2 linked regions of the Alligator mississippiensis genome follow. The protein of the gene in region 1 interacts with the protein of each later gene in a pairwise test. Links are inferred from orthologs where the notes say so. Each region holds a gene or a part of one and is shown in the gene's direction. Other genes may lie near its edges. The genes, in order: ANKRD13A and QDPR.

The links.
Region 2: the proteins of ANKRD13A (region 1) and QDPR interact in a two-hybrid assay, tested with the Homo sapiens proteins (2 studies listed by BioGRID). The two-hybrid records come from large-scale screens. The link is inferred for Alligator mississippiensis from reciprocal best matches to the Homo sapiens genes ANKRD13A and QDPR.

What each region holds. Positions count from the first base shown.
Region 1 is NC_081833.1:2,079,470-2,095,671, reverse strand, and holds the start of ANKRD13A (ankyrin repeat domain-containing protein 13A), read left to right. Parts: upstream 1-8,473; 5' UTR 8,474-8,626; coding exon 8,627-8,722; intron 8,723-11,172; coding exon 11,173-11,305; intron 11,306-11,497; coding exon 11,498-11,622; intron 11,623-12,048; coding exon 12,049-12,094; intron 12,095-12,867; coding exon 12,868-13,011; intron 13,012-13,547; coding exon 13,548-13,743; intron 13,744-14,961; coding exon 14,962-15,028; intron 15,029-16,202. Other genes in the region: ARF GTPase-activating protein GIT2, read right to left, coding at 305-417, 1,958-2,091, 7,610-7,661. UniProt on the Homo sapiens protein: Ubiquitin-binding protein that specifically recognizes and binds 'Lys-63'-linked ubiquitin. Does not bind 'Lys-48'-linked ubiquitin.
Region 2 is NC_081825.1:34,319,379-34,335,876, reverse strand, and holds the start of QDPR (dihydropteridine reductase), read left to right. Parts: upstream 1-10,564; 5' UTR 10,565-10,661; coding exon 10,662-10,766; intron 10,767-10,842; coding exon of another isoform or gene 10,843-10,880; coding exon 10,881-10,973; intron 10,974-13,116; coding exon 13,117-13,213; intron 13,214-16,038; coding exon 16,039-16,179; intron 16,180-16,498. Other genes in the region: CLRN2 (clarin-2), read right to left, coding at 796-1,058, 1,505-1,684, 5,767-6,019. UniProt on the Homo sapiens protein: Catalyzes the conversion of quinonoid dihydrobiopterin into tetrahydrobiopterin.

The sequences.
Region 1 (16,202 bases):
CACTTCAAGGTTTAGGTTGCAAAAGCTTTGAAAGATGCTTTAGAATTAAATATGTTTAAACCACATTGCTCACAGCAAAGTTGATTATTTGATCATCAAGGTTTAAAGATCAATGACTAAGAGAAGACGGAACTTCTTCAGACCTGTTCATATAACAACACTTTCAACCATATTTAAAAACTGAAACAAGATCAGCTTCACTTGCCCTTTTGCCACCTTTGTCACAGCTGGTCAAAAATAACTGCATTTTTCCAAAACGTCTCCTGCAACTATAAAGAGAATTTTATAAAAATATTCAACTTACTGGACTTTATCCTGTGGGTTAGCTTTGCGCCTTCCACTCATAACAGATGCTGGGTCTAGCAAAGAATGTTCCCATATGGAGTTAGCACCATTATTATACAGTGTTTCAACCATCTGAAATTCAAAACATGTACAACAAGCATTAAGTATTTTTACTGCTACTTGCACAGACAGGATAACCAAGACCACACAAATTTCCCAGTACTTTGCCAGTACACTTCCAGTGCAGGCATGCTATCAGCAATATCTTATTTTTAAACCTATTAATTGAAAAACTCTTGGCATTCTTTAGGGAAAAAAAGATGAACAGGATCACGTGAACAGACCAGAAGAGTAACAGATTTGTCCAGTTCTGTGCTAACGTCTATGACTAAAGGGAATGTCAGGAGTGGCTCCTTTGCATTCACAAGTAAGAAGCCCTTCCTTCAAAGGCCAGAGATAACAGGCTGTGCACATGAACTTAGATTTTCTCCAGACAAAATTGCTGAAATCAACACATTTTTCCAAAACGTTTTATTCTGGCAGAAACAACATTTTTAATTTAAAAAATAGACCACAGAATTCCTGATCTGCAGACTCCAAACCGCTACAATATGCATGCTGTAGAAAAGTGGTAAATTCCATATATTTAACCACCTGCTAATCAGGCTACAGACCACAGCCAAACTGTCTGGATTAATAGTGTATGGGTGGGGTTAGGGTCAAGGTAAGTTTAAACTAAAAGAACAAAGCTGCATCTGTTAAAGTGCTGGTAAAGGATCTTTTAGGATATATAAGACAGAAGCAGTGAGAAAGCAGAAATGAAAACAGAAAGCCTAGAATTAGATCCTCCCCCCACAGCAGTGAAGATTTATGCTCTTGCCAACAGTAGCTTTGGGGAAGAGGAAGGGTTGCTGCATGTTGATAACTTGCACTGAAACACCTGCAGTAATCTAAAATGGCTTGAAAGCTACTCGCTAAACCAAGAGAATTTTAACTGTGCTTCAGACTTTCCATTTATCCTAGATGCAAGTCAAGAATTTCACAGGTAACATTTACTTTAGTAATGCACTACATGGGGTGTTAAACTCACTCTGGGCCTGGAACCAAATCAACTACACAGCTCCTTCCAGGGCCAAATCAGGAGGCTGCGTTCAGGTAGCAGCATGGGTCTGGTCTGTGGCAGTGTGGATCCAGGACCATGGGACTGCAGGCAGCTGCATTTGGGCAGTGCTGAGCCAGGGGCTTGAGGAGACACAAAATCTGGCCAAAGGCAGCTCCATACCAGTGCACATCCCTGGCTCCATGCAGATGCCCAGCCGAAGCTCTGTGCTGCTGCGTACTCTCAACTCCACGCTACTGCACACCTCAGGCACTTGCAATGTGCTAGTTCAGCACTGCTGCTCGAATGCCTGAGGCTGGCAACATTGCCAGGGGTTCACAACTGTGCAGAGCTGAAGGCATGCAATTCTGTAGCCTGCTGGACTACCAGTGGGCTGGATGCAACAGTTCTGCAGACCGGAATCAACCCACAGGCCTTGTCTGACACCCCTGCACTACAGGAAAGGTAACAGAAACCAAGCATCTTTTAAAAAAAAGCTTAAGGGAGCAACCATCCTCCCAAGAAAGTTTAGTTATTACAGAATTCTCTAAAATAGCAAGTCTCATCCTTTACCTGCAGCAACGTTGGAGGCCATGGTGTGTGTTTGAGATGCCTCACTTGTGAGATATGACGCCCCAGGCTCCGATGCACGCTACAGCACTCATCACAAATTAAAATCCCCCGGTTTATTGATGCCCAACAAGGGTCTGGAAAAGAGTTACACATGTTATAACACGGAGACAAACAAGTTCAATGGTAAAATGCTACTCCTGGTTTTCTAATTTATTTGCTATATGAACTTGGGCAAATCACAACCTTCGCAGACCTCAAGATGTTGGAGGAAGAATGGGTCTTGTATGTAAAGCGCTATATTGGGTTTCAGGAGATCTGGGTTTTATTTCAGCCTGCCACACACTTAAGACCTTGAAGAAAACCACTCTGTGGCCTCAGTTGCTCATTTGTAAATAGGACCCCCTGTCTTCCTCATATCAGATCCATTGTAAGGCTAAAACTAAGCAGTTCCCAGATACTGCTGTGATGAGTTCCAAAGAAATGCCAGTAAAGAGCAAATTCCTACCCTGCTATCACAGGAAACTATATCACATAATTCCCTTAATACACTTAACAAGTTCCTTAAAACCAACCAGATTTCTTGCCTTATTATTCCTACTAGACAGCTACTGCTGCAAACCATTTGCAAATTGTTCACTCTTATAATTGAACATATTCAGCTATCACTCAATACTGGCCACTTGGTCACCCCTGGTTGAGCAAATAACCCTCACAATTCATGGCACAAGTAGATTTTAGTAGAGATTTGGAAAAAAAAATCCTACTGAAAACTGGTAATTTAGAAAATGCTATCTATGAATGAAAAGTAGCGTTAATGAAAGCAGGCAGACATTTTTGGTAGAAGTTGTCAAGTATTCATCAAAGCTTTGCATCAGTGGCAGAGGAAAGGAGTGATTTAAAAACTGAACCTGATGCAGTGGAACCAGAACGAAAGTGGAAGGATTCAAACAGGGGACTGTCATGGTAGCACAAATGAGCCAAGGCGACGTTCTTTGCAACTGATGAGTGTTGGAAAGGTCAGACAGGAAATGGACACAATCACTAATACATGGACCTACTTATGGGCCCAAATAAGAGCTTGAGAGGACTGAAGTGTTAGGTCTGGAAGTTTTTGGAAGGAAGCATCAGGATTTTCACAAACCTGGATGTGCCAGGACCAGGAAGATGGAGGAGTGGGAGAAACACTACAGGTAAAAGGCCTGAATCACTAGTAAAAGGGGAATTGATAGCATGTGCTGAGAAAAGAAATGGTTAAGAATTTAATTTGCCTTAGGAGTTACTGGATTAACTAAAGGTGTTACTTCAAACAGATATAGTTAAAAATCACACACAAAAAAGAAGCGCTGCCTTTTAAATTCAATTTAAACACAGTTTATACAAGTTATCTTAAGCTTGGGGGACAGCAAGTCCCAGGCAGGCCACAGATAAGAGGTGGAGATGTCAACTTACACTAAACAGATAAGTGAGGTTTAAATTGATTTAAGTGTCTACACCATGTCTTGCTCTCATTTAACAAACCTGTTTGGGGTTTTTTCCCCTCATTTAATTTACAAACAGCCTTGAACAACTTTAAAATTCTTTTGATTAAACACTGGATATAGACAAGTTTAAATTGATGGCAAGATATTAAGGAAGATACAGTGGGGGAAGAGAGGGCAAGACAAGTTCTGCTATGCTTTCAGTAGCACTAGAGAAGAATTCAAAACAGGAAGTAAGACATGATCAAGACAAACTTGCTAGTTGTTATCAACAGACTTTGAAAAGTGAATCGTACGATTATACAGAATGCAAAGTGTGCTGATAAAGGACACAGCATCGCCTCATGTCAAAACGAACAAGTAGGGATGGAGTGTTTTGTGGCCACGATTAGCCAAGAGATATGCAAGAAGCAAGGTTTTTTGGGTGATAGCTTTAATTAGATTAACTGTACAAACTTGTATACAGCTGGTTCAATAAAAGATATCACCAAAAACATTTGCTTTTTGCCGTACAAATGTAAGATATTATTTTGAGGGGTTTATAAGGCATGAGTGAACAATTATTTGTCAAAACTAAACAAAGGAAAAATGGGCCAGGGAAAAAACAAACTGCTGTACAGAAATTCAAGCAATACTGTGGTAGTGATAAGTCCCTCTATGTTCAATACATTTAAGCAGCGTAAAAGCAGCTTTACAATAGAATTAGGATAGGACTGATAACATGGGACATATGGTTGTGACATTAATTACTGGGTAAGAAGAAGGGTAGAGTTGTGGATATATCAACTCTGGAATCTTCATTTATGATGCTAAGAAACTGAATACAGTAAATCCTATTTTCCAGAGTCTTTATCACCTAAGGAAAATGGAGATTAACCCAGGGGAAGAAGGTGGGCATCCATTTGTTTTTACAAAACTTTTGAGTATTCAGTGTTTACCTGTATAATATAATCTTGTAATTTATTTTGGTGTTACATCTGTCACACCATTGATCTTGAAAGAAGCACAGCACAACACAAAACACAGAGCATGAACTGCATAAACCTGAGAAAGATGATTTATAAGCTGGGGTAGAAAAGATTATTATGAGTAGATATAAATGAAAGAATGACAAATATATCTGAAGTTTAAAAAGAGAGCGTGCCTTCTGGCATTCTAAAAATCGTTTTTAAATAAAGTTTTCAGAGTTTCCCCAGTTAGTCATTTGGACCAGTCTTCTGACTTATGTGCATAGCTTTACCCATTTGAGTTGTTTTATTAAAGTTAACAGGACTGCCCAAAGTACAGCTACACATGTACATAATTACTTGCAGGACTGAGGCCTAGAAGTATTTCTAAATATTCCAAAAGCCAGCTCAGCTAAGGTGACTTGAAGTCAGCATCACTAGTCTAGTGCAGGAATCCTCTCCAGCAAAACCAAGAAGAAACTGACTAATCTAATGTCCCTATTCAAACCTCAATGAAATGTAACATACACCACAACAGAATCAACTCATTTAAAAATTGAGACTCTTCAGTTTTAACAATTCCTTTTGCTATTAATGTCACTGAATATGTTAATTTTATCTTGCTGATGCCCCTTAAATAAAAAGTACTCAACTATGTAAAACACCACAGCGCTAAAATTAAGCAGATGTCATCAACCTGCGACTAATGAAATCCAGAAATCCAAGCATAAATTCAATAATTGTAAACTGCAAGTTGTGTTAAAGGGCAACAGCTGTCAATAAATTCTTTGTTCCTGGATGCAAATTCAGTGTTTATCCAGTTTGCAAAGCAAACGTCTCATTCCAATAAAGGATGGAATTGCTGGTGGAATATTCGGATTTTATAGAAATTAGATTCATGTTTAAAAGGAAATTCAACAAATCTCATTGTCATTTCTAAGCTCACTATCAGAGGGGTAACTCTACGAATAATCTCTTGCTATGCTAAATACCAATACTTCTGCGCTGGATGTTATTTTAGGCCATCTCACTTGCTGGAACACAACTCTCCTCTGTGCTTGCTCAGCCTTCAAGTCTATAGGTCACTAACACACAAAATGAGATACAGCCCACACTTGTTTTAAAGGGACAGTGAACAATACTTAGCACTCTTAAAATTAGTGGACCCCTCAATTGGAGCTACAGGGAATATTGCTGGAACTCACATTTTCTGATATTTTGAAGCAGAAATTAGGACTATGTATTAGACTCTGGAAACCTTGTCAATAAACCTGACTAAGGGATCAGCTTATTAAAACACTGCCCTACATTATTTCTTTTCTAACTAGTGTAGGAGAGACACCATGACAGAACACTGCCAACAAGCTCCTGACCACGCTGAACCTCCATCCTATGAATGCTGAAATTCACCTCCAACAAAGCCCACAGGATTCTGGCCTTTTTTCTTACAGTTTGACAACTCACAGATGGCTTATCATGCCAGTCATGTATTTAACTGAGTTGTCTAGAAGTGAAACTCTCTTGAGCCAGTACTGACACACAGGAAAGTGCAAAAAGGAAGCACAAAAAACAAAAAGTAAGATTACAATTCTAAAATTCTTCCATGTTAATACTATAAACATTTTAAACACAGGTATGGGAATGCACTGAAAAGGGGGACTTATCTGGACAGCATCCTTATAAGAGGAGTCACAGAATTAATTGTGCCATGATTGTTTAAACGGTTTGGTAAATTCCACTTATATCCATATTAGATAAGTGCAAAACTCCTTTAAGCGTATAACATGATGCCAGTCTTAACATTCATCCTAGCGCTTGTATTGCAACAAGCACTTAACATCACTTATCTGCACAGGTCAGCACAAGCAGCACTTATCTGTATACGGATAGATGTGTAAACCCACCAAAGTCCACAGGAACTCTTCAGCGTTGCTGTCTGTTTTGACCTGGGACTGCGTTTCCTTTCCTGGCATCACTGAACTGGGAGTCACCAATTCCCAGGCCTCTTCTTCTCTCCTATCCTTCATTTCCCCCTTTACACATCATTAATGTGGCCGAGCCACACAACTGCTTTATCACTGACGCTTCCCAGGTCCTCATCCTGGTGTGCGGGCGCGCTACACACGGGAGGAGTGGGTCAGCAGATTCACATATTGGACTATCCTTTAAACCAGTGGTTCTTAACCTTTTTTGTACCAGGACCCATTTGTCAACGTCGACGGTCAATTCTGACCCAGTACCTCTGGGGCAGGGAGTGGGTGTGTGGGGCACGTGGGTCCACAAGCAGCCCTCCGCAGCCTGCGAGGGAAAAGCCAAAGCTTCCCACATTTTTCCCCTTTAAAGGAGAATCCATTTTAAAAGTTTGCATGCAACCCTTTCGTATATTCTTGCGACCCAAGCCAAACTTATAAGGCGCGGCTCCGGAGCAAATCCCGTTTCATTTAATCCACAAGTTGCGGGGCAGCTCGTACGCGGGCTGAGGACGATTCTCCTCTCCAGCGCTTTGATCTCATCCCGCTTACCGTGGTGTTGCTCAAGCGCCCCTAGGCCGCTGCGTGCGTTGCACGTGCCCGTTTTGGGTGTTTACGCCTCACGCGGCTGCGTTTCTTAGCGATTTGTATAGGGCGCGCTCACTCTCTGCTGTCAATTGGACGCTCTTTTAATTGCCGTTTGACTTCTAGAGTCTCTCAGACGCTATATAAAGTGCGCGCGGTACAGCCTCCACCCCGATGCTGTTTTAATTGCCGTTTGCCCTGCACGCTCTCGCTAAACACGACACAAAACGTGCGTGTATAGCCTCCACACTGGGAACACTCCTTTAATGAGCGTTTTACTTCCATATTCGCACTCAGCGCTGTATCAAGCGTGCGTGGTGTCGCCTGCACACGGTCCGTGCTCTTGTACTTGCATTTTCTCACGGCGCGCACACCTCGGCCGGGCCCTGCCGCCGCGCCCGGGCTGCGAGCTGTCGCGGGGCAGTGGCTCCTGGACCCCGAGTCTGGGCAAGCGCCCCCGTCCCCCCGCCACGAGCGCGGGTGCAGGGCAAGCCCGGGAGCACCGTGCTTGGGCCGTTAAGATGAAGGCGTGGTTGTGTTTGTTTCGGTGAGAAGGCAGGTGAAGCGTCCCCCAGGTGTGCGGGCGCGGGCCCCCCCGCTGCAGGCCGCGCTTGCCTGAGGGGAGCTGAGGGAAACCCACCTCCCGGCACTTGCACCACCCCCCGCGCCTACCCTGAGCGCTGCAGTCGGCGCACACCTCGCTGCTCCTCAGCCGCTTCGACATGCCGGCGCGGGCGGGTGGCGGGCGCGGGGTAGGGGGGGCTGGGGCCGCTTCCTGCCGCCCTCACGGGGCCCGGCCAGCAACAGGCCGCACTGCGCAGGCGCACACCAGCGCCGCCATTCAGCAAGCCGCTGGGGCCGGTGCGCGCGCGCGTAGGGCAGGGAGGTGCTCGTCACGTGACAAGTGGAGGGAAGGGAGTGAGGCGACTCAGGAGCCATCTTAGCTCCTGGCACCCGCGTAAGTGGGGCAGGGGGAAAACCGCGGCTGCCCTCACCCAAGATGGCCGCCGAGGCGCTTGGGCGAGAAGGGCCGCCCGGCCCTTATTCAAAGAGGCTGTTAGGAACTTGCCCTCACCCAAAATGGCGGCGCCGGCCACCCGGAAGTCTTAGAAAGGCGGAAGTAGCCGATGAAACCGACGCTTGGGTGCGGGCGCGGGTGGGGAAGCGGCTTCCGCCGCGGGCAGTTCCCTTGGGGAAGTACAGCAGGGTGACGAGCTGCCTCCCTCCCTCCCTCCGCCCGCGGGCAGCGCCGAGCACTGATTCCTCTTTCCCTTGTGGAGTGGAGTGCAGTGCGGGGCCGGCTATGGCAGCCGACGAGGGCCCCTCGCCGCGGGGCCCGCTGATTCGTTCCGGCCCCTGCCCGGGAGAGGAAAGTTAGACGGGGACAGGCGGAGGAGGGGGCTGGGGGAGCCCCGGGGGGGGGTGTCTCTGGGGGTCCCTGAGACGGGGGGGGGGGAGGTTTGAGGGTGCCTGAGGCAGGGGGAGGGTGCCTGAAGTGTGTGTGTGTGTGTGTGGGGGGGGGGGGGTCTCTGAGGGTGCCTGAGGTGTGGGGGTGCTGAGGCTGAGGGGCCTGGGTGCGTGTGTTTGGGGAGGTGAGTGCAAGCAGGGTGTCTGCCCCCCCTCCCCCCGGCCAGGGCTGGGGGTGCCAAGCAGGGGAGAGCAGGGCCCTCGGGAGCGCCAGGCAGCAGGATGAGTTCGCCGGGCAAAGCCAGCAGCAAGTACCCGCTGCACGTCTTGGTGTGGAATAACGACTACCGGCGGCTGGATGCGGAGCTACGCGAGCAGGTAACGAGCGTCCCGTGACGCACCCTCCCCGGGGACGCGGCCGGGTAGCGTAGCGATGCGTGGGACCGTCGGGCTGTTGGGGCTGCCGACGCACTATCGGTGATGAGAAGGGGCCGTTACGGGCAGGCACCGAGAATATGTCTGCAGAGATATCGCCGAACTTGTTAAATGCCGTCTGCTGATCTTGGGTGGGGAGGGTTGGGCTTGGACCCGGAGCCAAAAAACACACAGATGCGATGGGCCTTAATGCTGTCTGCTGAGAGAGGGCCACCGCAAGCCGTGCGCGGCGACCGGTCTGCCGGGACCTGAGCAAAACTTTTTTTTTCTCGGCATGGCGTGCCCGGGCAACCAGTAGCTCACTGAAAACTGCTGCTGTTTTCCTCGCACGCTCTTGAATCGTTCTCTGCCCTCCTCTCCACTGATGGATGCTATGATTTTTGTTTTGCAAAGTCAGTCCTTGCAGGTTAGAATACAAACGTCCCTTTTTCAAGCGTAGTTCTTTGAGCTTTCCAGGTGGAGACTTAGGGTCTCAATAGCTGAGTATGTTTGCTCCGGTGACAAAACGTACGTGATCGTCTTAAACCACCCAAATCTGGTAGGGCAGGTGTAAAGTGGGCACACTATTAGCATTAAAATACAGACAGAAATGGGTTCGAAATCTGTATCGGAGCCCAAGCAGTTGAAATGATCCAGTTGTTGAGTTCAGATATTGCCATTACTGAATTCCAGTGCAGCTCCAAATACTGAGATATACTTTATTAATACACAGCTAAACAGCTGGGATTTGTGGCACGGGGCACCAGTTGGCAGACACATAGCCTGTTAATTGTATTGTTCCTGATACAGTGGGTCCATGCACCGAGTGTCAGACAGTGTCACCTTGTGATGCTAATTAGGATGATTGTCTGCACTTTGCTGGTGCATTCTGAAATGCTAATATTTGTGTAAAGCTTGCTTAGGTCGTCTTTTTTTCTTCTTTCTTTGAGTGACTCTTTAGGATGCTGTGTACTGTATCTCTAATTCTTATAATCTTCAGTCTGTCTGCAATATTTCTTTTACTGACACATTGGTTAGGGTGCTCGTTTCTTTATGTTTAAATCTTTATTAAAATAATGTTACCGTCTTTTAAACAGTTGTACCTTAACTGGGAATATTTTAGCGCTAGTTTATTCTGGTGATTTGCATCGTTGTAATTATGGCAATGCAAGCAGGTCCAGCTTCCTGCCCCCAGTGCTCTACAGCGCAAGTAAATGGACTACATTTAAAGGAAGGGAAAGAATACATGCACTAAGCTTGAAGTGTCTTCTTTAAATCAAAGATGTCACTTCTGCATCCTCTGTTCAAACTGCTTCTTGTATGGGACAGATGTGCTGTGTGTGGCAGAGGTATTGAAGGAAACTCTAGCCAGCCTCATGAAATGACTAATGCAATGCACAGTTCCAGGTTAACAGCAGAAGAGAAATGAAGATAACTGATCCAGAATCCTTGTTTTCACTGCATTAGGCACTACAGCTTGGAGAAACTGAGTGAAGATCGCAAGGGCTGCTGTACTTAATCACAGCAGCGAGAGATGAGGATGCTGTAATTCAAACTTTCCTTACTCTTCGATCTTGGTGTTTCAGACTTAATGCTGTCAGATAACCATTTCAATTTGCATAATATTCCTATCTTATTCCACTATTGACTTTTCCCCTTTTCCTTTAGTTATAGATCTTCTTCTGTTTCAGATCTCTAAAGCTAGTAGTGAAAAATAGAAGTAAGGTATGAGTATGTTGTGCTTGCATGTTTTGGGTATTTATGCCTCATGTGGTTGCATTTCTTAGTGATTTGTATAGAATGCACTCACTCTCCATTGTCCTGTGTGTCTCAGTCAAACTGATGCTCTTTTAATTGCCATTTTACTTCCATATTCTCACTAAATGCTATACAAAACGTGCATTGTATAGCCTATCACTCACTTCTGTGATTTTTGGCTGATTTAATGTTTTGTATGTCATGATACCCTCTAGTGGCCACTTTAACTGGTGACTAAATAAATCAAAGTTACAAAGTACAGAGAATGGAACCCTGCCATTTCCTGAAAAAATTGTGCCTGCAGATCAGGAGGGGGGAGGAACCTCATATAGAGCTGGCTGCTTTCTCTGCCTCCCAACACCCCCTTTTCCTCTTACTCCCAATCACTTTTAAAAGAGTCCAGTCCTATTCCAATTGGATTTCTGTGAAAGCCAGGCTTGTAAGAGGACAATTAGGCAATTCAACAGGGGTATCAAAGCAAGTCATATAAGATAAAGTGACTGCAAACCATGAATGGTTCTGTAAGAATACATAATGCATACTGACCCATTGTAGCTTATCGCTGAAAAGCTTTGTATTATCTGTCCTTGGTGTCTTCTGGTGATGGGGTTTGATTGAATGGTCTCAGCATCATTTACCTCTTGGTTGTTCAACAGGATGTTGATCAACGGGATCCACGAGGCCGGACCTTGCTGCACCTTGCTGTTTCCTTGGGATACATAGAGTCTGCCAAAGTCCTCCTTCGACACAAGGCAGATGTTACCAAAGAGAATGCCCAGGGATGGACTGGTAAGAGATTAGATTGCAAGTGGAAATTGTCTGTTAATAACCTTTGCGTTAAACCCAGCACCTCTGAAATCTGGCCCTGTGTGTGTCGTCATGGACGTTGCATGGCTTGTCTGCAACATGCGTGTTGTAGGCGTTCTGCTTTTTGGCTAAAAACAAAAAATGCACCCACCTCCGTGTTTGGGCTTCTTTCAGTTTTGCATGAGGCTGTCAGCACAGGAGACCCAGAAATGGTACACATGATTCTGCAGCATCGGGACTACCAGCAAACCTCAATGACACTTGGAGGGGTTCCCGAATTACTCCAAAAGATTAATGAGGTAAATATTTAATGAAACCTGAGTTGCAGGCTGGTCAAGTGCCCTTTTGGGAGCTGCTAGTTTGGTGTCAGTTAACTTAAATCAGCTTGGGGATCGGAATCAATTGATCTTAAGTCAGGATGATGGGCTATTCAATTCAAAATTACCTCTCCATTAACTCCATGTAAATCCGTAGTAACTTAATTAAGATGGGTACAGTGGAAAAGTGTTAAACTATTGCAGGACAATGTCTTGTTGTATGCCACCTTATTTTGATTAAATGTACTGGTAAGTTTTATCTGGGTAAATGTCACTGTGGGTGTTGTCAGTGACATCTCAGCCTCAAATGTTTCTTCTTTCTTAAATGTATATGACAAGTCAGAGCTAAATACTGAGTTAATATTCTCTCCATTTTTGGCTTATTTGAAACACCCATTTTTATGCTAGACTCCTGACTTCTACGTGGAAATGAAATGGGAATTCACTAGTTGGGGTAAGTGTCTTCTACAACCTCTCTTACCTCTTGTAACCAGTAGAAATGCATGCGAGTTTCAGACTTGTTGAAGTAAAAAAGTAGGTTTGCAAAGAAAATATGTATGTAGAACCTTTACTTTCTTCCTTTCTCTCAAAGTTTGTTAAGCATGAAAGATTTCCAGCCTATTTTTCCTGCTATATAAGCTGTTAGATCTTTGTTAATGCCTTTTTTTTTTTAATTGAACCCTATGGCACTTATGTTGGTGGTTGCTGAAGCTTTTCTAAGGATTTAGCTGTCCCAGTGCTTCGTCATACATAAGGTGATGAGGCAAAACTTATGTGGTGGTGCCAACCAATTTAGGAAGCAGTTTATTCCTTCCCGTTGCAAAACTGATTATGTGCATTATGGGTGACTTCTCTTTCTTCCCAACCACTGAGTATTCACCATTGCTGGACAGAGGACAAAAAAATAGCTACAATTAATTATTTTATTTAGTGTCTCATGTCTTGCCATGTTCACCATAAGTGGGGAATCAATTCTGATAGTTCCTCTGTTCTTTGTTTAGGTATCAAAAAACAAACTAAACCAAGAAAGACAGAGGTTCATAGCTCTTGGGACTGAAAGGGATCATTTTGATGATCTACTTTGACCTCTTGTGTAATGCAAGCCATAAAATTTCTTTAAGGAATTCCTGGATCAAGACTAGAACTTCTGGTTTGAGTTTGATCCTCCTACTCCTTTCTTTTCTGCTAAGGAATTTTACATTTGAATCTCTGTCTTTTTCTTTATAGTCCCACTGGTTTCCAGAGTATGTCCAAGTGATATCTGCCGCATCTGGAAAAGTGGTGCCAAGCTTCGAGTTGATATCACGTTATTAGGCTTTGAAAATATGAGTTGGGAACGAGGAAAACGTAGTTTAATTTTCAAGGGAGAAGGTGAGTATTTTTAGCCTGTCTCATTTATTGACTGTCAGACAGCATGAGGCCTACAATATTTTTCAGAGTACATGTTATAATGCTCAGCTTTATTTTCACATCTTTCACAGACTTCTTCATGCTGAGAAGTGCTCCATCTGGCATTTCAAGTTTCTAAGCAGAACAGAAGGGCTGAATTTTCCTTCACAAATTCTTCTGGAGCAAATATAGGAAATCAGATTAAAACTTAACTTTAGAACCACAGAAATAAGCATTCAGCTACATTATAGATAGATATATATATTTCCCAAATGTATTAGGGTCTTTTAATTCTACTTTTCAAATTACTCTTAAAAATGACTTGGCCACCTACATAATCTGCTCATCCATCCTTACTAAGATCATAGTGGTACTTAAACAAATCTATCACTTGTCCCAGACAAATGCAAACCTGACAAAGTTTCCTTTGTCCTCACTTTCATCCCTTGTGTGAGTCCTGGATACCTCTTTACTGAAAGTTTGTAAAATCTAGTCAATTATATCTATTCTTTCAACAGATACTGGAGGCTGGGCAGAGCTAATTGAGATAAACCATGATGATAAGGTTGTCACAACAGAGCGTTTTGAAATCTCCCAACAAATGAAGCGTTTGACATTGGGCTCTATGACTCCAAAAAGGAAGGATGTGGAAAGACGCCTTACATCTCCTATTATTAATACTTGCCTTGATACAAAAAACATTGCTTTTGAAAGGTAAGATATTTAAGCTTTTCTTAATGAACAAATCCTCCACCTATGCAGGATTATGCTTGCAGTATAACTTTAAAAAAAGAATCTTGTAATAGATTATCTTGGAAGTAACCTAGAATAATACCCTAAACTGCATATTCCATTCTGTAGAGAATGAGCTGAAAATCATAACATTTACTTCTGGCCTTGCAAACGGTTTCCATTTGGTGAAGAGTCCTTTTGCACTGTAACACTTGCATTTCTACATTAATGGGGCCAGTTTTAATATCTTCTGGTTTCAGAAATATACACTTAATTGCCAACACAGCAAGAACGAACCATATGTGCAGTGCTGACGCTAGTTCACAGTCTGTGGGCTGACGTTGAGGATCCAATAATAAAGTTTACAGCTTCAGTTTTGACTTTGAGCTTGATTGATTTTTAGCTTAGTCCTATGTAAATGATAGTAATAACTGTACTAATACTGATAGAGAAGATACTAGTTTGATAGTAGAAGCACAGGAGCTACTTCAGTGCTGCACCTTTTTGGAGTGTTATGGGGTATGACAATACACTTAAGTATTGCTGTGGGAACATTGATTAACTTCAAGGCAAAAGTATTTATTAAAACATGGTGCAGAATTACAGCCAGTGTGAAAGATCAGCTGTCAAAGCTCATTGCTTCATTCTATTGGATGTGTGAAGATTTTCTTCCTTGAGTGCTACTTGGGGAATAAAATTAAAACAAAAAAGCCTCCAAATCCTAAGTCCTGCTAAAAGCCAGTGAATTTTAGACACGCCAACATTTACATTGTTTGTGAAAACCACCCTAAAGCTTACTGACAGCAATCAGCCTGGCTTCCCAGTTTCCAGCTGCAAGTTGCCAGATAAAATTAAGCTAGCATTGACTCTGACAGTTGTTCAGTGGTTCAGGAGAGGATGTGATGCTATCCAGAAACTCCAGTTCCTTGTGGCTCGAGCTTTCCTGTTACAATCAGCCTGCTAAATATTAGCCTCTGCACTTCCATGGAGATATGAATAAGAACAGAAATGGACTCAGACTCATTTTTCGGCCTTAGATTGGAGAAAGATGTTTGTGTTTGTTGTACCTGTTTTCTGGGGCTTTGTCTAGTATCTTGCAAACACTGTTTGGCTGAAACATCATTAGAGAAAACATGGGTTGGAGGATAAATAGATATGGCAAGTTGTATATAGATACTTGCGGTGTTCACTTTTTATCAGAACTACATCTGGATTCTGGGTATGGAGGACAGAGAAAGCAGAAGGTGTAAATGGTTATGAAGCAAAGGTAAGAATCAGTTCTTTACAACTAAGAGGTCTAAAGCTAATTGGAGTGCGAATGTGATTGTTCAATATTCCCTGAGTATCTTAGCGTTAAAATCTTCCTTTAATGTCCACAACCGTCTTGATTTGCCACATAAACTGATAGGGTGTGAGACATTTCAGATGGGATGCCAAATACCCAGGAGCTTTGCCTGTGGTTGGGGATTGAAACAAGTGCTGGGAGGTGGGGATAGTGCCAAAAGAAGACGGGGGGAGGCTGGGAGGGATGTGGGCAAATGGCTCTGATCACAAGAGCGTTTCCCTCCAGAATGCGGAGCTCAGCTATTACTTTAGAGTCTCAGCATTCTCACAGTGTCAGAAAGCAGTAGAACCCATCAGCAAAATGTCATCGCTAGCCTTTTGCTGTTACAAGTTCCTTCAGTAGCTCTATTAGAGTAAGACCGGCACGGATCTAGAGTTTGTCTTTCCAATGAGCCATATGGGGGGGAGGTTAGCATGCTTCCATATGATGGAATTCCCCCCGCTCTGATTTTAGTTTCTCAGAAGTTAGAAATACCAGGTCCTGCGTGACCTTACTTCACCATTTTGTGCATGTACATTAAGACATACTTTCTAATTACATGATCAGCTGTACTCTGGATATGTAAATTGCTAAAAACTTTGAGAAGCTTATGTTTTGTTTTTTCCAAATTGGACATACACAGTCAGTCAAGGTGTTTTACTTTAATCTCTGGTTTATTTGCCCATGTGAATAGACATAACGATAACACCCACAAAGACCCTTCTCATCAAGGCATGGGAAGGGAACTTCTCCGGTGTTTGTAAACAAATTGGGCACTACAGTGAGAGCACCACTGATCTTTAAGACAGCTCTGTTTAGTGCCAAGTGGGAACCATGCTCAATGAATCATGGAAGGAGGTCACATACTGAAAGATGAAGATAAAAACAGGCATGGGATACATATGATGAGCACCCTCCAGCCTATGCGCTGACTGAAGTGGGGTCCTGTGCAAAGAGGGGGATCATATGTGATCATATAAGAAGGACGTACCATGATGCATATGCACGAGAAAACAAATGTAAGACCCAGAGGCAACCTTAATTCTCTTGTTTCCTAACTTCCGAGTGCTTGGTTCTGCACCCCTGCTTCTCTTCTAACATGATAGAGGGGTGGTTT
Region 2 (16,498 bases), on another chromosome or scaffold:
GGTATTAGTATTCTTAAAAAAAAACAACCAACAAAACTTTGCCACACATAAGCGTCTTAATAAAAAGTTTTTCATTTAATAGTGTTTCATATGTGCTATTTTCATTTGTTTTCAGATAAAACAAGAATTGGCAGAGGCCTGAGCCAATATATCTGTCAGAATACTCTTTAGGTTATCTAGTTTCTGGCTTTTGACTTTTATTTTTTATTTTTAAAATCTTATTGTATGCCCTTAGTCATGTGCTCCCAGTTTGATTTCAGTCTCCTAGCTAATTTACCTTTCTAGAACTTCAGTACATCAATAAGAATAGGGTACTCCATTGGTCCCCTCAGATTTTTTTAACAATCTGAGAAACTAATTTGCAATTGTGTTTAATACAGAAGTCCAGGATCTGTTCTCTATGCTGTGCAATAAGACTGTAGTCTATTAGCTTGGAAGCCAATGTATTATGATACAGTTATCTTCTTTATCTTAACTAAAGAGCACTGTTCAATGTTTGTGAAATCATATTTTACTTCAGATTTTTGAAAAGATGGAAACATTCTAGAAAGTAACTGCATTACTTTACATATTGGATAGCTTTTAAGCAGTGCGGATGTTGTAGTTTGTTTTCCAGCCAATGCTATTGCTGGTACCATTAACTGGCCTCAAAATACTATGTATTCTGCCAGTAGCAATTTAACTGTTTATGAAACCAGAATTTCCATCCAAATAAAAAAAATTACAGAACCAAGGAGCTGCTTTTAATCACAACAGTTAACTTCAAAAAAACTAATTTTATGATGGAGAAGGTTATTAGTACATGATGTCTTCTGCTGTAACATTTGCCTCTTCTGTTTTAGTCTTAAATTCAGGGAAGCGAATTGCACTTAGGGCTATTAGCAACAAATTTACTCCATGAGCTGTAGCACTTGCCACACAAAGCCAAAAAGAGCCTTCATACTGTTCCTCCAAGACTAGAAACTGAAAAATTTCCTGGAAATTGGCAATTCTTTCTGTGAGATGATGAAGTTTAACAGCTGCTATAAAGCTAGCGACTGCCAATGCTGTAAAGCCACCTGCAACAGAATGAAAAAGGCATTCATCATCATTTTCAAAACAAGTCGGATGTGTTGGATCCAATTTAGGAGAACATGACTTAAGTACACACTTCAAGTTAAATGTATGATTGGGTATCCAGAATGGGGATGTGCTTAACATGTGCTTAAGGGTCTTCCTCTATTGTAGCCTTTATTAGATATGTGATTAAGCATCGCACCTTTCTTATGTTGCTATAAAAGTGCTCTTGCAACTGATATTGAGGCTGTATATGAATTTTCTGTTCATGAAGAACAACCTATACTAGCATCTGAAATGCCTTGTATTAATTTTACTACAGTAGGTACAAATTCAATGCAAACATTTATCTTTTATTAGAAATGTACATACGGGACAAGCAAGAGGTTTTAACATGTGGACACAATTTAGTGTTACCATTTATTCACAGTAGTAAAAATTATTTTACCTGCAAGTAAATTCCATAGGCATATACCTGCTGGACCTTTAATAGCTCGATATGGAACCTGGATTATGTTGAGAATGCAGAATCCAAAACTGATCAGAGCAAAAGAAATGGCGACACATAGGAAGATTATAATCATCACATGAAGGCCTGTATTCAGCTTTTTGACCAGATGTGGGAAGACTGTCAAGAAAAAATATTCAGTTATTCAGCATATACCTTTTTCTGATTATTAAAAGTTAACCTTATATTGATTATATAAACTGATTTATGCTCACTGTAATAGGACTTTATTTACAAGTAAACTTGTAGAAACAGCTGTGTTAGTTTGTGATGGTTGAATAATCAGATGGCAAAAGTAAAGGAACGAGGATGTTCTTACCTGAGAATAGTATTCTCTTATAGTACTTGTGTTGGTCAGGGATGCAGGCTCATGTATTCTTGCCCTAGTTTTATTAAGGTCAGTATTATATGAGACTATACTGGAAAATATATTACTGTATATTATGTCTATTAAACAGTAAACCCAAACAAGAGCACCAAATCTGAATTTCACGCACTTTGATCTTCCCAGCTTGTCCTATCATTATTGTAAGCGTCAGCCAGAATTCTAACTCTAAATATTCCTGAATTTTAGGGAGAGTTCAGATTGAGATCGAAATGTCATGCCATGAGCTTTAATTAACATATATGTATATTATACTTATAGCAATAATAGTGGTATTGTCTGAAGCTACAAACTAAATTATCTGCCTGCTGCTCAACAAACTTATATGAGCAACAAGTGAAGTGTAGATGAAAAACTTGGTTCCTTTCTTTGAGTCAAGTAGACCCACAGTTCAGCAAGGTATTTAAAGGCCCCTTACTGGAACCATTTATACTTAGCATTACGCATGTACTTAAGGATGCCTGTATACATGCAGGGACACTGCTCTGACATGCTTTAATTACACCGCATCAGTGGAGTGTGCTAATTGGCACACTCCAGAAGCCTCCATGTCTTGTGTATCAGTGTCCGTGCGCTTCAAAATGGCAGTGGGGGCACTTTAACTAAAGCTCATTCAATGACCTTTAGTTAAAGCCCCCACCACCATTTTGAAGTGTGGGGAGGCTGAATATACCAGATACTGTAAGTGCTTTAATTAAAGCGGCTCCCAGAGCTGCTCTAACTAAAGCGCCCCCCACACCCGGAGCACGTGTAAAGATGCCCTAAGTATCTTGCTCAATCAGGTCCACAGTCACTGAACAGTAGGTTCAGTTGCCCTGAGGCCTCCTTGAGGTCCATCCAAGCCCAACCCTGGGCATCTTGTGGAAGCATTGTAAAACCTTTTTATTTAGGCAGGCTTTTAGCAAATGGGGTTAAATTTTGGGGTATTTGGGGAGTTATTACTTACTATTTTATTATTTTACTTGTTTATCTTATGTTTATGATAAGCCATCCTGGGCCTTTTTGGGAAGGGTAGCATATTAATCTAATTAACCCCAGTATATGGCTATTAAAGACACAATAATTAATGAGAATGAACAAGCAATTTCTGCCTTGATCATATCAGCAGAAAAAATAAAACATGTTGCAGTATTATTAAGGTTACTCATTTAAGCATTAAAAATTAGGAACTGCTACATTTTTTCTGTACCTCCTAACCAGCATACAGAAGTTACTTAAAGCACTGTAGATTTAATACCTCATTTAACAAGGGTTAATTTTACAGCACTGTACCCATTTTAAAGTGTTGTAAAGCCATTCACTTCTGTTAAGTCACAGCAATAAAGCATTTTAAATGGCAAAAAAAGCAACTTGTGTACACACCTCCAGTTAGTGTCAATCTCCAGGCTCTGGCCTACCTTTAAAACATTATTACTATAAGGCCAGTGTGCCTGAACATCCCTTTGCTCCCAACCCAATGTTTCTTTTAAGGTAATTGTGATCTGAATTTGTCTTAGTCTCTATTCTCAGGTTTCCTCTGCACCAGGTAGAGGTATAGCCATTGTCTGCTCAAAGTCCCCATCTATAGAATGTTTTTCCTGGACCCTGATTGTGCTCATTAGAGACCCTTAGGACTTCTTTCCAGGCATGTTCCCAAGACATTTCTATTTGGGAGCATTTTTTTTGGGTCAGTGACCCAAAACATTTTTTTGGGTCAGTGACCCAAAATTTTTTTGGGGGGTCAATGACCATATTGGCCACCCGTTTCACTATCTATTTATTTTTAGAGTATTTTTTGCTGAAGAAAAAGCTAGCTTTCTTGAGCATCTGTCTAAGAGTATTCAGTTAGGGTTGGTCTGAAATTTTTTGAAGTAACACATGCAGGACTTCTAGTAACTCCTTAACTTGGACAAGGTGCTCGTGAATTTTGCCTCTGCTTCCCAGACAATGGTAACTTCTTTCACCCACCTGCAAGTCCTCACAAATGCATTGTTTTAGAGCCAAAGACCAAATTTTCTCAGAAGAGAACTATGGGGCATTTAGAAAATTCAATCTATACTGGGGCTTATCAAGGACAGAGGAGATGGAGAAGACAATAAACACCCTAAATCTAGCCCTGTATAACCTTCAGATTGCTCAGGGAAGTGATAAGACTATAACGAGAATCTATTTATCTCCTCTTCAAGCACAGGGTCAGAGAGGATGTCCCCCTGGGGGAATGACCAGTGGGGTTCTGCACCCATTTCAGAAACAACAATAAGGGTCTATACTGCCTCCCTGTGGCGCCTGAAATCACCAGGCTTGGACAGGTCCTCAGCATGCACCCCAGTCTTGCTCTTGGGCTCCTTTTCTTGGGAAACGGTATTCTCTCCTACGGCCTCCTCAAGCATTTTGCCTCTGGCAGGCTATGGGCGAACAAAATGGTTCTGGAACATCTGTATGACTGCCACATTTCCACTCCACACTGGAGCTGTCCCTCTAGGAAAGGTATCACCACTGAGTCCATAACATCTAATCTTACAGATCTTTTAATTCATTTTTTGAAAGGTATATCTCTACTATATCCATTGACTAAGTGACTGCATTTTTTTTTTAAAGGCCCAGTCCTCCCCTGCTGGCAGGGAAAACTCCCACTGTATCCTGCATTCATGCGGGGGGTGGGACCTGATAACCTTAAGGTCCTTTCCAATCCTATGACTCTATGGTCACGGGAGTTTGGCTTACATAAGAACTGCAGCTTTTGGTCCTCTGACTACTGTATCACAGGAGTCACAGTTGAACTAGTCTATTTTAGTAATTCACAGTAATTCATCAAAAAGTCTCTTTATCAACAGTTGGATTCGCCCTACACAGTTGTGCAAATGACCAAAAGGAGGCATAAGCTCCCCTTCCTCCATTCCACTTAGCAGCCAGCAAGGCTTATCCAAATAATGAATAATGGCATGGATGGGTAGGTAAACTACATCTGCATGCCTAATGCTCTCTCTTAGCAGTGCAAATAAGAGAAAGGCAGAGATCAGACATCCATGACTCCACCTCCTATCCCTTACCCTTTAGAGAAAACTGGACAGGGGTAGGAGTAGGCCGTGCCTGGTAATAAGACAGCATGACAAGGCATTAGCTGCAGTGATTAGCTGAAGCAAGATTTGGTCGTCAAAAATCCACAAGGTAGAAACCAAGCCACGAAACTTCAGCTCCAGTGCTATTTCTACCTTAATGTGGATCTGAAGGCTAAGTAGTCCACCAAAGGTACAGACAAGCCTCTAAACGGTTTGAAAGCAAATGCCTCAGGAGAATACTAGGTTTTACATAGAAAGCTGAGATTTGTCAGGACTCAACATCTCCTCCAAAATTATCAAGAAGAAATGGAAATATCTCCCAACCCATAAAAAATGAAGCCAGAATATTTGCCACGGCATGTGTAGTATGGGGTACCTAGAGAGCAGCATGTAAAAAACAACTGGAAGATTCCTTTGGTTCAGTAGTACTTACTACAAAGGTGGTTGTGGTATGCCAGAAGTAGGCACCAGCCTTTACATGGGAATTACAAGAAAATCTCCATCGGAGTTCTAAGAAATATTTTTTCTAATCCTGCTTTTACAGTGATATGGCATCATATCCAAGAATATAAATGAAAAAAATATATAAATAAATTAAGCCCGAAAATACATTGAAATTTGTGCCCATATTTCAAACCATAAAGACCCAAAGTAGAATGAACTATAGATGTGAGCTTAATAACTATTTTCATTCTATGGGTATGATAAACAAAAAAATTATAAGGCTTTTAAAAATTATTTACACATCACTCAATATATTCAACCAAAACTTTACTTACGTGTGAATTTGGACCGCCGCCCACCCAACCCACACTGTCGTACTTTGCCCCCACGAAAGAGTCCATAGTAAATATCTCCAGTGAACTTGACTAGTTCTGGATCTGTGGCATTGACCAAGTCAGCTCCTGTTTTACAAAGAATTTTTCCAGTTATCCACTTTTGGGTTCCCATCGCAACAACAATCAAGATAAAAGACACAAAGCTCATTGCAGAAGCCAGTGCAAACAATGTCTTTTTAAAGCAGCCAGGCATCTTAGTAGTTTCAAGGAATCCTCTCCAAGGCCTCTCTGCAGTAATTAGATATATTTTCCATTTTTCTGATGCTTAGAAATCCACAAGTGGGATGCAAATTCTTCAAAACATAGACTTTTATATCTCATTGCACTTTTAAACTCCAGAGGCTAAACTGAATGGTTAAAAATCAAGCCCGAAATGTAGATTTGCTGCGACAACATCCTGAAATGGTTGCAAAGAAGAACTTCACTACACTGTAGTGCAGTGGAGCTTGTCTCTGCAGAAAGTAATCCTATATCTATTGCACGACTATTGTTTCATCAGAGGTTTAATTGACATACTCAAATGACATCTATTTCTTTACCATAATCACATAGAAGAAACTTAGATGAAGGATCCAGTTTTTTTAGATTGCTATGACATTTTAAATATTTGTGGGCAAGGGACACAGAATATAAAAAATATATTATTGGCACCTGAATTCTGCTGTCATCTCAGCTGTATCAAATTACTTTTTCCTGGTGCTTGCCGTGGTGCTTTTTTTTTTCTAAATGTCAGCACTGTCCCTGCTATCAGAACTGTTCATAAACTAGAAAATGATAACCCATTCTCCAAGCTTGGTAATTGAAGTATATAAATAGTGTTTGATGCTGCACAGACTTGTTATTAGATTAATCTTTGGAATATAAAATGAGATGCAAAACAATTCTTTATGCTTGAAAAAAGACAAATGCCAACATTCTTTTTAATATATTTTAGCAATGGAGCTAATGCAGGCACATACAGAAACAGACACAACAGGCTAAAAGTGCTATCAGATAGGACTGAAAAGCGACAATAGTTTGCACTTCTTTACTGCCTTTCACTCAAGGACTGTGAAGCTCTTTACAACTATTAATTAATTAATTCTCACAACATCCTTCTGAAGTAGGTAACCCAACACCCTACTGACTGCAGCCCAAACAAGTTGTGGAAACACACTATTACTAAGGTGGTGTCTTTTGGATGAGATGTAAAACAAAGTCTTCACGGTCAGCGGAGGTCTCAAAGCAATACAGCTTTCAATGGTTATGTAGTTATGTTTTAACCTTTATGTCTATATTGTTATACTGTGTCCATGACCATGGAATATAAGCACTTTAAAAATGTATTAGACATTTCAGACACAATACAAAATGTACTTAAGGCATGGCAGCGCCTTAAATTTAGGGGCTTTATGTCTAGAGTTTGATGCAAATTGACAAGCTTACACAACTAAGCTTTATATACAGTGAATGGGAGACCTAGATCACGGACACATATATTTGGAGTGGCTTCAAAAGAGGAACATTTTAAAGGGGCAGCAGCTGTTAAGTTTTAATTGTTACTTGTGGACAAATTGGGAAATACAAACCTCCAATTTTAACACTGCTTCATCAAGGGCTAAAGCTGGAGTGCTTTGGCTATGAAGTGTTCCAAATGTAAATCTGGCCATACCCCTAGATGCCTTCCAAGGATAATCCAGACCATGTAATTTGGGACCTACCTAAATCACAGCAAGACAAACGGTTTTTTGCAACCCACTCATGGTGCACAGAGCTGATATTGTGGGTATTTTGTGGCAGCCCAGCCCTTTGGTGCTGATTGGCAGAGAGGCCCCACCCCTCGGTGCTGATTGGAGGAGGAGGGGTGAGGAGGCAACTGCCATTTTGATTGCTGGATGTCCTTTGTGCGGCCCCGCCCCTAGGCACTGATTGGCGGAGAGGACCCAGAGGGAGGAGAGACGAGGGGGCAGCTGCTAACTTGTCTGCTGCCCTTTGTGCCACCCTGCCAGTGAGCACCTTTCCCTCCTGGCAGCAAGGGCTGCTGGCTCCCACTGGAGAGCCAGCATTATATTCTTAATTTTTTGTTGATTTTGCAGATTTTGTGGACAATCCCAGATTTCAGTTTCCATGAAATCCACAAAACCTCACAGCAGGTAGGTCCCTACACATAGTCATTCGGCACAGAGGTGCTTACAGCTGGCCAATAGGAAATCCTAGGCAGAGTGGCGTGTCTGAATTCCCATTTATCCTCAGAGTTTAGACACCTGATTCAGGGTGCAAGGGAAGTGTTTTGGTCATCTCAGGATATAGACTGTCCAGCAGGGAGACACCTGCCTGGACCAAGACCCCTAACTGACAGCTGCACTGACCTCAAGAATGTGCACAGCATGACATGTAGGGCAGGGGTGTCAAACTCTCTTTCTGCTCCAGGTCAGATCCGGACTGTGGGGCTCCTTGTAGGCTAGATCTGCAAGGGGCTCTGGCTCCATACATGCAGCTGTGGCTGTAGCTCCTGCTGTATATCACATACCACATGCTGGAGTCAGAGCTGCTGCTGCTACCATGTACCTCATGATGCACCAAGAGCTCCAGCTCTGGCACAGGGCACATGGCAGTGACAGCTCCTGCATGAGGTATGCTGCGCAGTCTCAGGGCCAGTGACTGAGGATAGGGCCACAGCAGTAGCAATGGGTGAAGTGACCGGAAGGCCACTGGGTCTGTTTCAGCCCTCACTCGCTCTTCTGCCAAACTGGCATATCCACTGGGGCTCAAGATCCCCAAATTCTGCAGCAGGCCACTCCTCCCTGGCCATGCCCTACAACTTCTGGCTGCCCACTTGGTAGCCTGCTGGCTCTGATAAAATGGCTCTACATGCCATGTTAGATACCTCTGCCCTAGGTCCTCTTCCCCCTGAGCAGGGCCAAACCCATATCTTCCGATTCCCAGGACAGCGCCCTAACCACCAAGCTATAATCTAGTGTGGCATGGAAACCTGGCTTCAACGTTACTGTCAGGATAAATTTGCACCTTTATAGACCAACTCAGGGGTGTCACAGATCCAGGCCCTGGGCCCTATCATCTGGTCTTGGGTGCTGCCCATGGGTCTGGGCATAGGCAACTAGTAAGGAGGGCATGGGGGGGGGCACATGCCCCTCCTGACAGGGCCATCCCCGCCTCCACCACCGCTGGCATCTGCAAGTCATCCCCGCCACTGCTGGCATCTGCAAGTGCTCAACGTAAACCTGACAGGGCTGTTCCTGCAAGTGGCATCTGCAGATGCTCGCCAGATCTACCCCTGCCACTGCCGGAGGCGTCTGCAGGACCTTGCCAGCTCTGTCCCTGCCACTGCCGGAGGCATCTGCAGGAGCTCACCAGCTCTGCTGACGCCGCCCCAGACTCAGGAGGCACCAGTTGCCCATGGGTCTGGGAGTGGACCCACGTGTCACTGTGGTGTGTGAGGGACCAGCCCTGCATGCTGCACAGGAAGTGGGGGCTGGTGTGGGGTGCACCCTGATGGCTGCACTCTGGGCCGGTCCTAGGCACACAATGCCAGCCGCATTTGCGTGTACTCTGAGGGCCCAAACTGGCCTGTGGATCAGCTCAGTGCCTGATCTAGCCATGGATCAGACCTCACTCACCCTCTTGCCACAGACAGCCACATTTTTTATTTTTTTTTAAGGAAAATTTTTCGTGTCCTAGGTCAAATTAGCCAGATCAGGTCCAAATCTGTTTGACTCATTCAAGAACCATATGTGGCTCTGATACCGGTAAGCGTCATCCACTCCAGCCAGGGGCTTCAGAAACCTCCAAATCCTTTGTCAGGAGTCCTATGTGCAAGCCCAAGTGCGGAAGCTTGGTTTAGATGCCCCTAAGCCTCGTTTGCCCTCCACCGTATGGCTCCAAGCGCAAGCTAGAGAGGAGTCTCCCATTTCCATACAGTCCATGTGCAGCCGAGATCCCCTCGCTGTAATTTGGTCAGTGGTACGCTAACTATGAAGCTCTCGTAGGGAGTCCTGCCTGCAAGCAAACAAGGGTGCAACCCTCCACTACCCAGTGCCATATTAATTGTGTTACCTCGGTCAAAGTATTTTCCTTACCACCATCATGGTCATGGTATTTCTCCTGCCACATCCTCTCTCTCTTTTTTTTTTTTTAGGAAAACTTTTCATGTCCCAAGTCAAATCAGCCAAATCGACTCCAGATCCCTGAGTCATTCAAGACCCACATGTGGCCCTGCTAATAGCAAGCATCCTCCACCCCCGCATGGGGCTTCAGATGCTTCCAAACCCTTTGGCGGACATCCTGCTGGCGGGCCCGGGCCCAGGCCCAGAGGCTCGGGGTTCGCTTGCCCTCAGCCATCCCGCCGCAAAAGCAAGCTAGGGAGCAACCTCCCATTTTCACAAAACGGGCTTTAAGCCCCAGCAGGCCGGCCGGCGGGTGCTGAACCGCGCCAGAACAGCGACCCCCGCCAACGCTGCCTTCGTGCACCCGGATCCCCGACGTTTCCCTGCCAGGCGGGCACAGTGGCCAGGCCAGCACCGCATCTGCGCGGCCGAAAAAGACCGCCACATCCCCCAGAGCACAAGCCCCCTCCCCCGTGCCCTTGCCACCCCGGGCCTGACGAAGCGGAGGGGCAGGGCAAGCTGTGGGCGTGGGCGCGGGCGCGGGCTGTCTCCGGCACCGCCCTCCCCGCGGGAAGGCTGCTGTGAGCGGTCTGAGAGGGACGCGCGTCCCCCGCCCTCTGCCCACTTCCGGCAGCTTCAAGCGCAGCGGCTCCGCTCCGCTCCGCTCCGCTCCGCTCCTCCCGGGGCAAGAGGGCGGGAAGCGCTGCAGCGGGCCGGGCCGGGAGCCTCAGCATGGCGGCGGCGGCGGCGGCGGGCGAGGCGCGCAGGGTGCTGGTGTACGGCGGCGGCGGGGCGCTGGGCTCCACCTGCGTGCGCTACTTCCGAGACAGGGGCTGGGTGAGCGCGCGGCCGGGCCGGGCCGGGCCGGGGCCGGGCCGGGGCCGGGGCCGGGGGCGGGTGGCCAGGCACTGACCTGTGTCTCGTTGCACGCGGCGGCGGCGGCGGCGGCAGTGGGTGGCCAGCATCGACCTGTCGGAGAACGTGGCGGCCAGCGCCAACGTGCTGGTGAAGAGCAGCGAGTCCTTCCCGGAGCAGGCGGAGCAGGTGGGTCTCTCGAGGGAAGAGGAATCGGGACTCTTGGCCGGGGTGGTAACTTTTACGAGACCAACTAGACTTTTCCACAAAAAATTAAAAAACAGAATTGGTAGGTTTCAGGGAAAGCGGTTGATCCGGAGCGGGAAGGGGCAGGGGCAGGCCAGGTCCTGCAGTCCCTGTCACTGGGTCCGTGGACATGTTGGAGGACCCCTGGGCCCCTTATTTTGAACCTGTGGCCTCGCGCCCTTCCTGCTTTTCCTTTTACTTCCCCCAAGAAATGCGTTGCTACTTTCTCAGTAGCCCCCTTCTTTAAGGGAGTCCAGTCCAGTGCCCTGCCTGCAGGAAGGCTCCCGTAGGCAGTCTGAGGGGCACGTCCTCTGCCTCAGCCCCAACTAACGGGACTGGCTTCTTTCCACTTCACCGGCAACGCCTGCGGGGCACTCCCTTTTTTAGGGAGGCTTATAGTTTCCCTTGGTGGGCATTGGACCATGATCCCTTTAAGCAGCAAATAGGCCAAGTCAGTTTTTCCCACACTTGCAAAACAAAACTGACCGATTCCTGGTTGATTTTTGCCCTTTGCCCCCAGCAGAATTGTGCAGCATTTGGGTTGCGAGTTTTGTGGAAACTGTAGCTTGAGTGGCCATGGGGTCCTGCAAGCCACAGGCGTGGCCAGAGCCATGGTGCCTGGGCAGTGCCATGGGAATGGACGTGACTCCCATGAGCTCAGGGGTGTAATCATTCACTGTGATTTATAGAACTGGTCTCTAAAGCTCCCCCCCACCTCTTTTTTAATATCACAAAAAAAAAAAAAAAATCCATAGCCCCAACAGAAGCATGCAGGCAAACCTCAAATTTACCACCACCACCCCCCCTTCTACCCCCATGTTCTTGAATTCAGTCTAAAGTTCAGCTTTGAATTGTGCCTCTCCTAATCTGGTTTCCTTATTCAATAACTGGCTTGCTGCAACCCAGGTGAATTAGGAGTCTGTATTTTGTACTGCAGCTAGCCCACTGGCAATATTGTCATGGTTTGGGCACCCCTTTGTTGCGAGGCAGGTGAGGCTAACTGGGACTGACTGATCAGTGTGACAGTGTTTCTCGGAGCCCTGACCTTTACAGTTTACTTCATAATTTGGTCATGTAAACCCCCAACTTCTTAGGTTCAAATCCTGAAATATACTGGAGGCAGATGGATTGCTAGATTTACACAAAGCACCAATGAAGTTGCTAGGGCTATGTGTGGGTTCAGCTTGCCCACATGAGAATAGTGACCTAAATGTTGTTTTATTGAAAAAATGGTTTTGCTTGTTGCCAGTGTATGAGTGTGTTCCTTTCACCAGTGCAATTTTTTTTGTGCTCTTGTAACTCAGAAGGCATTACAGCTAGATTATGGAGCATTTCATGCCGCAGATTTGTTACTCTTCTTAATGCCGAGTGCTTAAAAAAGAAATGATGTGGTCTTATTTAAGGCTTTTCATCTAGAAACCAACCTCTTTGTCTCCAGTGCCAAGTAGCTGGCACAGCAACAACTGTTCTTGGTGTAAAATCCACAGACATAAAATTCTGTACTGACAGGCAAATTCTTAAATTTGGGAGAGGACAAGAAAGGCCAGAGAACAGTTTACGAATTCCTAAGCTACAGGTGTAACCCAGCCATCATTTATGTAGAAGCTTTATCCCTGAGAAGGCTATTTAATAATTGTCCCTTTCATAATTGTTCACTTCTTACAGCTTTACCTGAAACATGGTAAATCTACTACTAGTTCTACTACTAATCTGGAGAGTCAGTTCTTAAATAGTATGCTAGGAATGACTTTTGTCACTCAACCAAGAGCCTCTCTGTGTCTGTATGTAGCAACCTAAGTATGGGTCTGATTTTTGTGGACTTTTTCTGTGTGAGTTTGTCCCATTGATGTCCCCTCATATGCAGCTGTTAATTAATTTGTTTTCCCTTTTTGTTTTTATTATTTGCTTTGAGCAGGCAGAACCATAAAGCCTAACTTTCTGCAGCTGCTTAAAATGCCATGTGTGCTGAATAATCAGTATAATGGAAAACAAAATAGCAGTGTTAAAGTAGTCTAGATGTTTGCATTTTTACTTCAGTGACTTGTTTTCAGGATGATTTTATGATCTCTTGCTTCATCTGTTTAAGGTGACAGGAGATGTTGGAAAACTTCTGGGTGAAGAAAAGTTGGATGCCATCTTGTGCGTTGCTGGAGGATGGGCAGGTGGGAGTGCAAAAGCAAAAGGTGAGGCCTCTGTTAATTGCATACATTACTGCAGATATATTAATGCAGCATTAGAAAATTCTGTAAAAGTCATCATTAAAAAGATCTTTCAACCTGAGATCTTTCCTTTTTGGTGATCACATGGAAACAAGCCTGATTGCTTAAACGAGTTTAGTGAAAATTGGAACACTTACAAGTGCTTTTCTTTATTATTGCTCTTGGTGGTTAAAATAGTATGGTAAGTGTGAATTATTATGCTTTCTCTTTCCGTATAGTATTTTTCCTCATTAGATCTCAAAGCACTTTGAAAAGGAGGTCAGTATCCATTTTCCAGATGAAGGAACTGAGGCACAGGAAGTGAATGACTTTTCCCAAGGTTGTGCAGCAAGTCAGAGAGAGAGGCTAGAAAAGAACCGACACCTTGCATCTGGATCCTTCCATAGTCCTCAGTGCTGGTTTACCATGATACTATAATGTCTTGTAGTAACAGGCGCTATGTACAAACCTAAGATTATTTTTAAAAATGAATCAAGGCCTTCAGCTTAACATTGAAATGTCTTGTTACCAAATGCTGGGATGGTACTTTTTAACTTGGGTACCTAGACTGGATGCGTCAAATAACATTTAATTCCTACCTGGCTAAAATGAAGTGGCAGGTAGGCACCCTCATCCTACTCAAACACTGAAAAGATGGCAATCCTTTGTTTTATAAGTATAGGACAATCGCATTTGTTACTGTTTTGCAAAAATATACAGGTATATGTGCACGCACATGTGCATTTGTATCTGGTGTGAACCAATACTGCACAATTAAAAAGTTAATTGTAAATAAGGCAGTAGATTGTAATGAAACTTGAAGTACTGTTAAGGCAACAGGATATCAAGGTGAAATGGGAATGTTTTGGGATAGGTGGTTATCTTGTCTGTTTGTTATACCATTTTAGCATATGTATTGAAGAGGTGTGTTGTAGGGAAATATGACCTTTTGGCCTTGAACACTAAATCAGATAACTTGCTTAATCCTTAGGACTCCCTTTCCAACCACTGCTATGTGAAAACCATTACTAACACACATCATTGCTGGATTTTAAATTTTTTTCATTTATATTTTCTACCTATATTCACATAATTCCTTTTTGCTGAAACTACAAGCCAACAAGTTTGGCACACAGATTCTGATCATGTCAAGTACAGTACTGATGTCAAGCAGGTTGTATCCCTATTTGAGGAACTGCCTGATGTGCAAAAGATATCCCTGAACAGTCTCTTTATGCCTTGGAGTTTTTCACCCAAGTACTAAATCCAGTCTTGTATACTTATATGATCAAAGCCTGTGGGAAAAGCTGCTTGTAGTCTGGTATTTATACAGTGTTGATGGCTATGAAGTTACAGGGAGTAAACAAACAAGAGTTGAAATCAAAAGTAGGCTTCTATATAACGCTGCAGAGCCCAACCCAAAGGTCATTGCAACAGATATCAAATATTTAAGAACAACATCTGTATTGTGGAGAAAAAAGCTATCAATGGCTGGCTTCACCCAGGTAATTGCCCATCCATGGATTAACCAGATGTCAACCATGACAGGTTGTGCGAGGCAGCACAGCTTTATTTTATTCAGTTTTATCATTCAAACGAAATCCTGCACAAGGATTACATAGTGAACTAATATAGTTACAAAATTAAAAGAAAAATAAGAATCAGAGAAATTGAGCGATACACGCAGGAGATTTTTCCCCTAACAATTGAAATGATCATTCCAAAAGGTAAGAGCTGCAGAAAGCTCTCTGTCACTAGTGAAATTTGTGCAAAGGGACTAAGACATGAGTATGATGTGACAGATGTAAGGGTGTCTGTGTCCCTGTCCATGTACTTGCTACAAAGTATCTTGGCTCTTATTCCATAGTAAGAAGCATTCACACAAGATGCTCTCTCAGGCTGGCTGCGAGGTGGTGAGGAAGCCAGTTTACATTGAGCAAAATACTACCCTGAGATGAAACTAACTAGGGGATCAAGTACATATTTGTTTTTCTAGTAGTTACTCCTCGCTTGTTAAGGGATACTTTTACCCCAGAAGGGAATAACTTGCATCAGCCTAAAGGTATAAAACATGTCTGCCTCACTATAACTAAATTAAGTTATATTACTCTGGGGCAAATGTGTAGTGTGCACTCAAGGCCTGTGATACTGATGGAAGCAAGTCCATAGATATTTTAAGAATTTAGGGCATTTTGAACAGAATCCAGAAACTAACGGAAACCAACAAAATACCCTGAGGTTGGGGGATGTGGTCAGACTTCTTATAGTGAGAAGTCTGGTAGTAGTACTGGACAGGTACTGAAGAGCAGGAACTGGAGGAAATCAAAGAGACAGGAGATGCAAAAGGCATGGGGAGAGGAGATGAAGGCCTAGCTGAGGGTTTTAGCTGATATAGGGGAAGGAGATGGTGTAGGGCAGATGTATGTAGTACTATTTCATTCTGTGTGATGGGAAGTGAGCTTAAAGTAGACCAGTGGTTCTTAACTATTTTAGACTTAAGGCACCCCTTAGAAAATGCCAGTTTTTAGTTTTTGCTATTTTTTTGACTATGGAAAATTACAGCAATTTCACTGTTGCAGTGAACTCGGAAAGATCACAGCAGGTCAGGATGTTTTTAATACTATAGATTTCTATTTGAAATCTCTGGAGGTTTTTTTGTGACTCATGTTTGCATACCTAACAGTGCTAACATTGTATAGCACCCTGGCGCACCCTTCAAAGGATCTCCAGGCAATCTGCTTGAGAATCACTGAACTAGAAAATGAGTTTTGTCTTCTAAATTTTTGCCTTGTAATTGTCTTGTTTACCAGCTTTATACAAAAATTGTGACCTGATGTGGAAGCAGAGTGTTTGGACATCAACTATATCCAGTCACTTAGCTACAAAACATTTGAAAGAAGGAGGTTTGTTGACTCTGACAGGAGCCAAAGCTGCTTTAGCTGGAACCCCAGGTAAAAAATAAAATATGTTGCTTGCTTTGATGTCTGTTACAATTGTTATATGCCACTTCTAATTATTCTCAGTTGAGAAACAATAGTTTTATTTCTTCTTTTTTTTTTTTACCATATTATGGGAAACAGCTGTTTGAATCGCTTCAGGAAATTTGTAACTGTTACAGATGGAAATAATACCAAATAGTTTGACGGTGTCATGCAAACAAAAGAACTAAGTACTTAAATCTTAGTTGACAGGCTTTGGTGAAACCTGACTTAGCATATGATAAGAATGCCTACAGGGGTTTTTACGGGTGATATCTTTTATTGAACCAAC